3 linked regions of the Oryctolagus cuniculus genome follow. The protein of the gene in region 2 binds, or shares a complex with, the protein of the main gene of each other region. Links are inferred from orthologs where the notes say so. Each region holds a gene or a part of one and is shown on either strand. Other genes may lie near its edges.

Region 1 (3,635 bases), about 67 Mb from region 2:
GGACTGGGTGCAGCAGGGTCCCTCACACAGGAGCTTCTGTCCCTGTGGAATTCACTGACTCCAATACTTTCTCAACCTTGTTGTTGAGGAATTTTTATGGGGTTTGATTATATAGGTATAATTGATAAACAGGGTCTCTAGCCCCTCACCCCTCCCTGAAGGTTATGGGTGTGTCACTGAAAGTGCCAAGTCAAGGCTTGGTGTTTCTGGTGACCAGCCCCCATCCTGCTGCTATCTAGGAGCCCAAAAAGCATTGAACAAAGATGGTCCTATCACCCTTATCATTCAGGAAGTTCCAAGAGTATTAGAGCCCTGTCCCAGGAACCCAGGACAAAGACTAAAAATCTTTCTGTGATAGCACATGTGTATGTATATAATCCCACAGAAATGTTTACAAAATAGTTTTGAAACTCACTAATATGATTATGATTTGAAATGAGATACTTCAAACTGTAAGCACCACAATCAGATGTCACCACTGGTCTTCTCATTCCATATATTTGTGTGTACTCTTTTGTTTGTTCTTCCTTTCAAGCTTCTAGGATAGTCTTTCCCTGGAATATTGACTAGGAATTGGTTACATGCATCCCCGCCTCAGTAAAAATGGCAGGGCCTAGGTATGCTAATCTTTGTTCTAAGAGATCCAAGGGAAAGCTTAACTTTGAAAGTTAATTCTAGCCTGAGAACTCACTACTCTAATTGCCTCCTGTTAATGTTATTAATTCAGTCCCACATGCAATGTGTGTTTCTATTACTTTGCCAGTCCCCACGTTAGTGTTTCTTACCAAAGGTTTTTGCTTTGCTGTCTCAGGATTCTCCCTTAGGGGACACACACACACACTCCTGGTACACTTAATTTCTGTAGTTCTTGGGATTTTTTAAATTTTTTATACTTTATGAATTAGCAGCATTTCAACAAATACCATAGATTGATAGTTTAAAATATGTAAACTATATGACTTATCAACATAATACCCATTAAGTGAATTAAAAAGTATCCACCGAACCCATCCCCTCTTATCAAATTCCTGTGACTATCCCTCTAGTTATATAATATTCTTAAAAAAAAAAAAGCTAACAGAAACCAGGTCTATTGTTCCAACTTTGGCTGCTTCTTAGAAGTTGCCCTGCTTCTGTGTGTGGGTGAGTTCTGAAAATGAGGAACCAGGGCTTCCACTGGGGTGGTCAGGGTTGTTGAGAAAGAGTGGGAGCCTCATGGGAAAAGACAGGAGGATTTACAAAGAGTGGCTGGGACAGAATTAGGTACAGTTTACTCTGATTTTGAAATTTTTCATACCTTTAACTTGGTCCAGTAGAGTAAAAAATTAAAATGAAGAGATTACCTCTGCCTGCTTTTTTGACACCCTTTAAAACTACAGTTTGGGGGCCGGCGCTGTGGTAGTAGGCTAAACCTCCGCCTGTGGTACCAGCATCCCATATGGGTGCCAGTTTGAGTCTCAGATGCTCCTTTTCCGGTCCAGCTCTCTGCTATAACCCAGGAAAGTAGTGGAAGATGGCCTGAGTGCTTGGGCCCCTGTACCCATGTGGGAGACCTGCAAGAAGCTCTTGGCTCCTGGCTTCAGATCTGTCCAGATTCAGCCATAGTGGCCATTTGAGAGTGAACAGTGGATGGAAGACCTTTCTGTCTCTCCCTCTTTCTGTCTGTAACCCTACTTCCCAGGTAAATAAATAAAATCTTTAAAAAAAAAAAAAAAAAAGAACTACAGTTTGGGGTTGCTAACTATAAAACGCTGCCACCTAATGATTTAAAGAATTCTGTAATTTGTAGACTTCTGAGAAGTTCCAGAAAATAAACCAGATGGTATGTAACAGCGATCGAGTGCTCAAAAGAAGTGCTGAAGGAAGCAACCCTCCCAAACCCCTGAAAAAACTGCGTTTTGATATTGAAGGAACGGATGAAGCCGATGGAAGGTAGGAACCACTTCAGGATGTTTCCCAGGAGTGGAGCCAGTCATCTGGAAACCCTGAGTCTAGCTCTCGTCCCGCTCCTACCAATTCCTTCCAAGCCAATTTCATTTGGAAATTGTGAGAATGGCTCAAAATAATAGCTATGAATGTAGCCCAAAGTTAAAAACACTAAACAAGTATTATACTACTGTCTTCCAAAATTCAGAGAAGATATCAGGCATTAAAGATCTGTTTTTGTTTTTTTTTTTTACAAAGCTATTGATAAAATTTTGTTAGTTTTAACATTAGATTTAAAAGTGTTTAGAAAAATACTGGAAAATATATGGGATCAAATTTTTGGCATTTATATTTTAAATAGTTAGTTTATAAATCTTTGAAATTAAAAGCTACTCACAAAGAAATAACATAAAATAAATCATTGAAAGCAATACAGTTACTGGAAATTTGAGTTTTCCATTTATACATGTATAAATTAAGTATTTTGTATTTTTTTAATCTGCAGTAAACATATTCCAGGGGAGTCCAAATTTCAACAGAAACTTGCAGAAATGAGTAAGTACTTATCATCTGACCTTATGTAAATGAAAGAAGAAATTGATTATCTTGCAGTCTTTTTACTTTATTAAAGAATATACATATACATATTTCTTTCAACTAGCAGACTCTTTTATGCATTTAAAGTGTAAATCAAGACCATATTATGTACCTGTAAACATTAGTGATTGAGTATGAAGCAACGTGAAGGATGTCTTCACCCCTTCTAAAATCCTTGGTGTAGGAACACTAAGAAGTGAAATCCTGCTTGACTACATCTTCAACACAAAATGACTGTTGGAAAATACTTCAGAATTGTAATGAGGAACTCTTTTTTTTAAAAAAAGATTATTTATTTATTTGAGAGGTAGAGTTACAGACAGTAAGAGGGAGAAACAGAGAGAAAGGTCTTCCTTCCATTGGTTCACTCCCCAAATGGCCACAACGGCCGGAGCTGCGCTGAACCAAAGCCAGGAGCCAGGAGCCTCTTCCGGGTCTCCCATGTGGATGCAGGGGCCCAAGCACTTGGGCCATCTTTTACTGTTTTCCCAGGCCATAGCAGAGAGCTGGATTGGAAGAGGAGTAGTAGGGACTTGAACTGGCGCCCATTTGGGATGCTGGCACCACAGGCAGAGGATTAACCTACTGTGCTACGGCACCAGCCCAATGAGGAAATTTTTAAGACTGTTTGGTACAGGAAAAGGTTTTAGAAACCTATCGTATTTAAACTTTATCACCTTTATTTAAAGAATGATCTTTTAGGATTAGACATTTAGCCTAGAGGTTAAAGATACTGGTGAAGACACCCATGTCCTGTTTTGGAGGATCTGGGTTCAATACCTGGCTCTGGCTCCTGATTCCAGCTTCCTGCTAATGCACACAGTGATGGCTCACAGATTTGGTCCCTGTCATACATGTGGGAGACCTGAATTGAGTTCTCAGCCTACTCCTGGCTTGCAAGGTCCAGCCCCAGCTGTTGTGGGCACTTGGGGAGTGAATAGTGGTTGGGAAGCCCATTCTCTCAGTTTCTCTACCCCTCAAATAAAATTTTTACAAATATATTTTATTCTGCTATTATTGAGCTTTGTTAATTTGCAAACTTTAAAACATAATTTCAAACAGAAGTCCTGTTTATTACTAGAAATCAGAATTTCAATAGCTATTTTCTCAGT
Region 2 (4,505 bases):
TGAGGACAGAATGCAGGAGACACACTTGCAAATCGGGACTGGCGGGCGGCGGCGCGATCCCACTGCACGGAACACAGGCTTTCCCGGGACAGGAGGATTTTAGGGTTTTGATCTTAGAGGCGGGGGGACGGAGGGAGAGCGGGAGGGACTGCCCCACCCCTGGCTCACTCCCAGATGCCCACGTGGCTGTGCACCAGCCTAGCAGGGCACTCACGTGGGTGGTGGGCACCCAGCTCCTGGGCTCTCAGCACTGCCGCCCACGACTGGAGTCAGGAGCTGTCTTATTCTACTTATCTCTTTGAAAGGCAGAGGGAGAAGGAGTGTGCGAGACAGAGATCTTCAGTCTGCCCACAACAGCCAGGGCTGGGCCAGGCAGAAGCCAGGAACCAAGAACTCCATCCAGGTCCCCCATGTGGTGGCAGAGACCCAGGTACTTGAGCCATCACCTGCTGCCTCCAAGGGTGCAGATTAGGGGTCAGAGGCAGAGCTGGGCCTTGAAGCCCTGTGGGGTTCAGGTGACATGATCAGTGTCCTCATCCCTGGGCCAAACACCGCTCCCCCCAGCCCCATCAACCTTCTCTAAGGACCTACTGTGTGCTAACCAGACAGGAAGGTTTCTGCCACAAAGAAACCGAACTGCTGGCACAGAGGACAGGCTGCCAGGGTGGGGCTCTCCTGGGCAGGAGTGGGTGCAGTGGGTGTGGATGGGGTGGGACTTGGAGGTGTGCAGAGGGGTGCAGGGTGGGAGAGCCCTTGTTATGGCTGTGTGGGACTCCGTGCAGCCTGGGCTCGGGACCGGCCTCCACAGCCTGCCGCCAGCCCTAGGTGACAGCTGTGTCTGCAGGGCAGGGCCCAGTTCCACTCTCCGTGGAAAGGCTGCCTGCCCTGGCGCCCAGGAGGTGTGGAGTCGCTGGGACTCTGTGAGGAAGCCGCCGGGATGCGGAGCAGGGCTGGAGACCTCCCCTCCCCTCCCCTCCCTGCCCAGACACCTGCGCCAGCTCAGCGCCTGCCTCCACCCCTGCATCCATGCAAACCAACGCGCCCAGGACCCTGGTCTGTGCGGCACCCTCGCGCTTGGCTTGCCTCCATCTGCTACTCCTCCACGTGCACACTTGCACCTGACCCCTTCTCCTCCCTGTGCACACGCACTGGTGTACACAGCAGCCCCAGCCCCATGCACACAGGCGAGCACACAACTGGCCCCCTTTTCCATGCACACAGCAAGTGCTCTTGGCCTCCTGCCCTGCAGGTGCCTCCTCTCCACCCCCTACACCCATGTCTCGCCTCCAGCTCTGCCCCCCACCCCGGCCCCCTTGCAGCTCTGTGTGCGCACACACAGCTTGGGTCTCCTCCCACAGTCTCGCTCCGTGCATACACACACACACACACACACACACACACACACTCATGCGCGCACACACGTGGCCCCTCTGACCCGCGCGCGCATCCCTAGCGCCGGCTGGCTCCATCCCGTCCGGCGCACGCGCAGGCTCGAACACGCGCGCACGGCCCTCCCCTCCCCCAGGGCGGCAGCGCCGGCGGGAGGAGCGGGAGCAGGAGGGGCGGAGGAGGAGGAGGGCGCCGAGGAGGAGGAGGGCTCCGAAGGCGCGAAAATGCGCGCAGGCGCGCTGCGCGGAGCGGGCCCGCCGCCGCCCACGTCACCGCGCCGCGCGCACGTCACGCCGGCCCGACGCTCGGCCAGGGTGAGCCCCGCGTCCCGGCGCCGCTGGCCCAGGGCAGGGACCCCGCCAGGGCCGGGAGCGCCGCCCGGCCCCCGCCGCCCGCCCGCGCCCCGCGGCCGTGTCCCCGCGCGGCCCGCGCCCCAGACTGCGCGGCCATACCGGGCGAGCCAGGTGCGGGCGGCGGAGGATGCGGTGGGAGCCGGCGCGACGGGGCCGGGCGAGCGCGGGGCGCGGGCCACGCGGGGCGCGGGCGGGCGGCGGCCCCCGAGCTGCGTCCCCGCCGCGTGCGGGCGCCGCGCGGCCCCGGCCCTCCCGCGCCCTCCGGGCCCCGCGCGCTCCTGGGCGCCGGGGCCCCGCGCCAGGCGCCCTTGCTGCGGGCGGGGGCTCCCAGGTGACCGGGCGGGGCGGGCGGGGGTACGGGGCCTGGCCTCCGGGGCCGATGGCCGCGCCCGCGCCTTGGGGGTCGGGGTCGGGGTCGGGGCCGGGCCGCGCGGGGCGGGGCGGGAGGCGCCGCGGGGCTGGAGTGCGCGCGGTGGCTGCGGCCTAGTGACAGATCGCAGCGGGCGGGGACCCGAGAGCCCACCTGTCAGAGTTACCGGTCGGCGGCCGAGCAGCCCGGCGCGCAGCCCCTGGAGGGTCCGGGGGAAGACCTGGGAACTTGCACGTTTGGGCTGTGCCCTGTTGGGTGGTCGTGTGCGCCTAAGTGGGGGACCCAAGCCCACCCTGCGGAGGCGGGCAGCGCGCCCCGGGCTCACCGCGGTCTCGCCTCCGGACCGGCCATTTGGGGTGCGCGGGGCGGGGGGGTTCCGGGCTGCTCGCGGGGTCTGAGGGTGGCGAGCGCTGCGAGAGCCTTGCGTCCAGGCTCTAGCGAGAAATCTCAGCCGCCAGGCCCTCGTGCAGGCGGGGGAGACGTCTCCTTTAAAGTGGGACATCTTGTAAACTTAGTTTTTCATCCTTGCTCATTTTTCTTTTTTCTCTCTCTTTTTTTTTTTTTTAACCAGAAAAGTCTTTTCTTCCTTGGAGAGTGAATGTTGATAGCATTGGTTTCCTGGACCTGGTAACATGGCAAAAGATGTGAGTACCTTTGCTTAATGCTCAAACACCTGTGCCTGGCACCAGCCCCTCCTGTTTGTGCCTTTGTCAGAGGGGCAAAACCTGAGTTATTAGTATTTCCTGGCTTTTTAAGAGAGGTTGGTTTGTTTATTTGGAAGGGTGAGAGACAGAGGGAGAGCTTCCATTAGCCGGTTCACTCCCCAGATGGCCATATGGCCACATAGCCACATCTGGGTCGGGCCAAAGCCAACAGTTTCATCTGGGTCTCCCAGCCTGATGACAGAGGCCCAGGCAGTTGGGCCATCTTCTGCCCTCCCAGGCGCATTAGCAGGAAGCTGGAGCAGAAGCAGAGCAGCCGGGACTTGAACTGGTGCTCCTATGGGATGCTGGCATTGCAGGTGCCCACTGAACCCTCTGCGTGCCACAATACCATCCCCTTCTCGGTAACTTTTTAAAGTTGGGTGGAGAAATAGGCTCTTAGGTCCAAGAATGAACTGAGTTTCCCATCATGCCGTCAGATTCCCTGAAACGCGGGGTCTTTGCACACTGGTGCAGACGGGCTGCGTGCTCGTCTCCTGCATAGAGCTGGAAGCAGGCTGGTCCTGCTGCCTCTGTGCGCGACTGCAGGTTGGGTGGCTTTGGAGCGCCTTCTGTCAGCTCAGATTTCCCGAACTTCCTGAGCCGCGTCCTCTGTCTGTGCCGGTCAGGGGCTCCCTGTCCTCGGATGCAGGCCTGCGCAGGGAGGCGCGCAGCCCTCCGGGCGCTGTGTGCAGGGTTTTGGTTTGATGTTCATTTTAAAACTGCTGTCATTTGGTTGGTGCCATCACTCCTGGAGGTGCCAACATGTGGCAGGTGCCCCGAAGCAGCTGGACTCCCACAGTTGCCCAGAAAGGGTGGTGCCAGACCCATGCCCAGCCGCATGCTTCTGGTTTCTGGACCAGTTTGCTCTCGTCTCTTTAAATGCTTAGATACTCACTGATGTCATCTTCGAAGCCCTTTGTGGTTCCACGTTGGTGTGGCTGGCACCGTCTGTGTGGCACGGAGAGAGGCGTGGGAGGGAAGGACAGACAGGTGCTGGAGGAGGGGGACCCCGCCACCCCAGCAAGGTCGCCGGGCCAGGGCACGGGCTGTGCTGGCCCCCTAGCTGGTCATCGTTGCATTTGAAGGACTCGGAGTGTGTGCTGTTGGGAGGTGGCAGGGTCTCACGGGCTGAGGAGTGGCTGTGGGGCAGACTGGCAAGGTGGCCTCCGTGTTCTACAGACAAGGGCTGTGCTGGTCCCGTGGCTGGTGACGCTGCTTTCTTGTCATCCACGTGCTCTTAGGCGGTGGCAGGGTCTCACGGGCTGAGATGCAGCTGGCAGGGCAGAATGGCAGGGTGGCCTCCGTGTTCTGCAGACAAGAAGTCAGGGTGTCGGGGACAAGCTGGAAATGGAGGCTGTGGGCAGGTGATGCTGGAGGGTGGATGGGCGACCAGCAAGGGTGAGGGCCCGTGGGGGGCCAGTGGCTGTGTTGTGCACAGGTTGCCTGATGAGGTTGTTGCAGAGTGGGCCCTCTGGTGTGAATTGAGGGGCCCAGAGCCCGCTGGGGGCCCCTAAGCTAGTTTTTGGTGCCCCCTGCTCATCTCATGCGGTGATTTCTGCGGTCATGAGCAGCTTCTGATCGCACAGGCCTCTGTGTGGCCTCTGGGGTGTGTGTGAGGAACGATGGTCTCTGTTCGTCCTCGTCATCCTGTGAGCCCTTTCTGGGCCCGTGGGCCGGGAGGGTGCGTGC
Region 3 (3,752 bases), on a different chromosome or scaffold from region 2:
TACTTCCGATCCAGCTCCCTGTTAACACACCTGGGAAAGCAGTGTGGGAAATGGCACAGGTGCTTGGGCCCCTGTGCCCATCTGGGAGACCTGGATGGAGTTCTAGTCCTGGCTTCAGCCTGGCCCAGCCCTGGCCTTAACCCTTTCTCAGGGCACAGTATGGCAGTGTTAAGTATTCCCCATGGTCTACGGGGCAGCAGATCTTAGGAAGCTTTCTGTTTTCTGAGAAATGGAACTCTTACCTTTTGGGCACTAATTCTCTCCCCAGCCCTTGGCTGCTAGGTGCCTGCTTTCTGTTTCTGTGGCTTTGACTGCTCTCGGTACCTCGTGACTGGAAGCACACAGTACTTGTCCTTTTGTGACTGGCTTATTTCATGGAACAAAATGTCCTCAAGGGTTGTCCCTGTTCCATCTAGTATGTTTCAGAATTTCCTTTTTTTTTTTTTTTTTTTTTTTTTTTTAGTTTGCCTTCTTTTTAATTAGAGATTTGTTTATTTACTTATTCAAATGGCAGAGTGACAGAGCAAGAGAGACAGAGCTTCCATCCACTGGCTCATTCCCCGAATTGCTGTTGACAGCTGGGGCTGGACCAGGCAGAAGCCAGGAGCTCAGAGCTCCATCCAGGTCTTGCACGTGGGTGCAGGGGCCTGAGCCGTCTCCTGCTCTGCTAGTCACATTAGCAGGAAGCTGCGTCGGGGCCGAATAGCCCGGGACTCGAACCCACACTTTGATATGAGATGCTGGTGTGGCAAGTGGTGGTTTAATCCGTTGTGCCACATTAGCCTCTGTTTTTCTTCATTTTTTTTTTAAGACTGGGTCATATTTCATTGATGTCTTTACCATGTTTTCTTTGTGTATATCATATTTTTTAAAAATTTTACTTATTAGACAGAAATCTTCCATATGCTGATTTACTCTCAATGCCTCTAACAGCTGGGGCTGGGCCAGACCAAAACCAGGAGCCAGGAATTTCATTCAAGTCTCCTGCATGGGTGTCAGGGACTCAAGTACTTGAGCCAGAGTACACATTGTTAGCAGGAAGCTGGAATAGGAGCAGAGCTGGGATTTGAACTCAGGCACTCTGATATGAGAAAGTGTGTCCCAAGTGACATATTTTTTTTTTTTTAAGATTTATTTATTTATTTATTTGAAAGGCAGAGTTACAGAGAGGCAGAGAGACAGAGAAATCTTCTATCTGCTGGTTTACTCTCCAAATGCCCACTACAGTTGGAGCTGGGCTGGTCTGAAGCCAGGAGCCTGGAGCTTCTTCCAGGATTCGCATGCGGGTGCGGGGGCCCAAGGACTTGGGCCATCCTCCACTGTTTTCCCAGGCACATTAGCAGGGAGCATCGTTGGAAATGGAGCAGCTGGGACTTGAACCGGTGCCCATATGGGATGCTGGCACTGCTGGCAGTAGCTTTACCTGCTACACCACAGCGCCAGGCCCCCCAAGTGCCATCTTAACTGCTATTCCAAATACTCCTATATATTTTATTTCTATAAAATTGAGAAATACTTTATATACAATCAACTGCCGTTCGACGTACAGCTCAGTGAATTTCACAGGTGCTTGTTTACAGCCACGAATAGCAGCAGTCACGTTCCAGAACATTCCACTACCCCCAACACAGTCCTCGCTCTCCTTGCTGTCTCTTTTGTCCGACCACTGGCTTCCTTTTTGTTCCTGTATCTTAGTTCACATCTTCTAGATTCCGTGTGCGTGGAATGATCCGGTATGTCCCCGTTTATGTCTGACCTATCAGGATCCCGAGATGCACGTTGTGTGACAGTAGCTCCTCTTCAGGAGAACGTGTCTTCTGCCTGCTCTCAGTTCTGCCCATGGCTACCCCACCTCCAGAGCCGAGTCCTGTCACCCCGGGCCTGGGTGCAGTATTGGCCTCGCATGTCCACTCTGCCTCCTTCCATCCCCTTTCCTGCCTTGCAGCAAGCACGTTGGAGCCCTTGTCACAAGCCATTGGACCGTAAATGCTCACTGCTCAGATGCCGCGGTGGCTTAGCCTGCTGCAGAGGCGTCAGTTTTGCATGAGGCCTGGTCCCTGCCGTCCCTCCAGAACCATCTCGCGTCCCTTGTTCACTTGAGTCCAGTGTTCCAGCTTTGCGTTCCCATTACTGTGCATCTCTTTGTGTCTCTGAGCTTTCGATGAGCTCTCCCTAGACCATAAGCCCCTCAGGGTTGCTGCCTGCCGCTGTGACTGCCATTCCTGGCGCGCAGTAGGTGGTCATTTTAAGCCGGGATGGAAGGACGGAGCTGTTCTTGGAGGGGCTACTGTTGGGGGCGCCTGGGAGGCGGCCTCCTGCACAGTGTGCGCTGAGCTCTGTCTTCCTCGTGTTGGCAGGATGAGCAGCTGAGGGCCCTGGTGAGGCAGTTCGGACAGCAGGATTGGAAGTTCCTGGCCAGCCACTTTCCTGTGAGTATGGCAGGGGTTCTCGCCGACCTACCACTGTGCCGGGGACAAGCTTCCTGCCAGGGAGAAGGCGAGGGAGTTCTTACCAGTTCCCTCCGAAGGAGAACCACGTAAAAGACGACTGTGTTCATGGGACCTTGCTTCCCAGAGGCGAAGCCTCTGCCCACAGCTGCCTCGTGTGTCCGGGGCTTTGCGGGGTTTGTAGCTGTGGCCAGTGACATGCTTATTTGCATTGCTTCGTGCACTGCTGGAGCGGATGGGTGCTGGGTTCCTCAACAGTGAGGCTGCAGCTGGGGGCAGGTGGTGCTTCCGCCGGCTGCGGCTGCACAGTAAGGCCCTGCAGCCACCCCACCCCCAGGCTGCAGGTGTCTGCTCTCTGGCTTACTGCCTGGGTCCCCAGGGCCACTAGAGGTCGGAGCCACCAGAGCCCTTTTGTCCACTTTGTTCATCTGCTTTTCATCCGTGTGGTGCTTCAGAAATAGAAACACTCTCCCAAAAGAAAGCAGGGATCTGGAACCTCATGAGTCTGTTACAGGCTTGGCAGGGGTGGCTGCCTGTGTGGGTAGTGGGAGGTGATCTTCTACAGGGGCCCGAACCTGTCCCCGTCTGCAGCAAAGGGAAGCCACGCGTGTCCTCGTGTGTGGGCCTGCAGTGTGTGGTGGGGGTGGTGGTGGTGGCATACACTGGGCCCTGAACCCCTGAGCCCAGTGCTCCAAAGGGTCCCAGCCCATGGATCAGGAGTTCTCACAGATTCCTGAATGTTCTTCCTGTTCACTTCCCAGAACCGCACTGACCAGCAATGCCAGTACCGGTGGCTGAGAGTTTTGAATCCAGATCTTGTCAAGGGGCCCTGGACCAAAGAGGAGGACCAGAAGGTAACTCAGCCACCTGTATTCAGTGGGCCTTCACCCACCTGCAGGGCAGCAGGCACCGTTGTGGGCATGTCCATGCACATGAACCTGGGAGTGAGCCAGCCTGCGATCAGCCCGGGTGTCCCCAGGTGTCCAGTTCGAGGCCCCAGGTCCTGATCCAGAGGGTCTGCAATCAGGAGCTGGGGCTGTTGGGCAGAACACTCAGCTTCTTGGTCCCTGCAGTAGGGTTTTTGTGAAGGTTGGACAGGTGATGCACGGGAGGGGTTTGTGTGGTCCCTGCACCAGCTGAGCTTACAGAGGGTGGCAGGTGCTATTTTCTTGTTATAACGGTGACTGTGCCTGGTGAACCGTTTTCCTGGGCACTGAGCCTTGTAAATGCTGTGTCCTTTTTTTTTTTTTTTTTTTTTTTTTTTTTTTTTTTTAATTTATTTTTTTTTGACAGGCAGAGTGGACA

Evidence for each region.
Region 1: the proteins of TFDP1 (region 2) and RB1 are in contact, whole or in part, in a crystal structure (PDB 2AZE), measured with the Homo sapiens proteins. The link is inferred for Oryctolagus cuniculus from reciprocal best matches to the Homo sapiens genes TFDP1 and RB1. Residues at the interface, in NP_009042.1 of Homo sapiens: Gln222, Glu225, Leu226, Gln229, Ile262, Val271, Asp273, Asp288, Asn289, Thr290, Phe291, Glu292, Ile293, His294, Asp295, Glu298, Arg302; in NP_000312.2 of Homo sapiens: Ile835, Ser838, Phe839, Thr841, Ser842, Phe845, Gln846, Ile848, Asn849, Val852, Cys853, Asn854, Ser855, Val858, Leu859, Lys860, Arg861.
Region 3: TFDP1 (region 2) and MYBL2 share a complex: the UniProt entries of both Homo sapiens proteins name them as parts of the DREAM complex. The link is inferred for Oryctolagus cuniculus from reciprocal best matches to the Homo sapiens genes TFDP1 and MYBL2.

Annotation. Positions count from the first base shown.
Region 1 is NC_091440.1:67,476,132-67,479,766, forward strand, and holds part of RB1 (retinoblastoma-associated protein), read left to right. Parts: intron 1-1,789; coding exon 1,790-1,932; intron 1,933-2,431; coding exon 2,432-2,481; intron 2,482-3,635. UniProt on the Homo sapiens protein: Tumor suppressor that is a key regulator of the G1/S transition of the cell cycle. The hypophosphorylated form binds transcription regulators of the E2F family, preventing transcription of E2F-responsive genes.
Region 2 is NC_091440.1:500,583-505,087, reverse strand, and holds the start of TFDP1 (transcription factor Dp-1), read left to right. Parts: upstream 1-1,621; 5' UTR 1,622-1,703; intron 1,704-1,714; exon of another isoform or gene 1,715-1,853; intron 1,854-2,049; exon of another isoform or gene 2,050-2,073; intron 2,074-2,446; exon of another isoform or gene 2,447-2,468; intron 2,469-2,683; 5' UTR 2,684-2,744; coding exon 2,745-2,756; intron 2,757-4,505. UniProt on the Homo sapiens protein: Can stimulate E2F-dependent transcription.
Region 3 is NC_091442.1:15,288,405-15,292,156, reverse strand, and holds part of MYBL2 (myb-related protein B), read left to right. Parts: intron 1-2,357; coding exon 2,358-2,429; intron 2,430-3,208; coding exon 3,209-3,301; intron 3,302-3,752. UniProt on the Homo sapiens protein: Transcription factor involved in the regulation of cell survival, proliferation, and differentiation. Transactivates the expression of the CLU gene.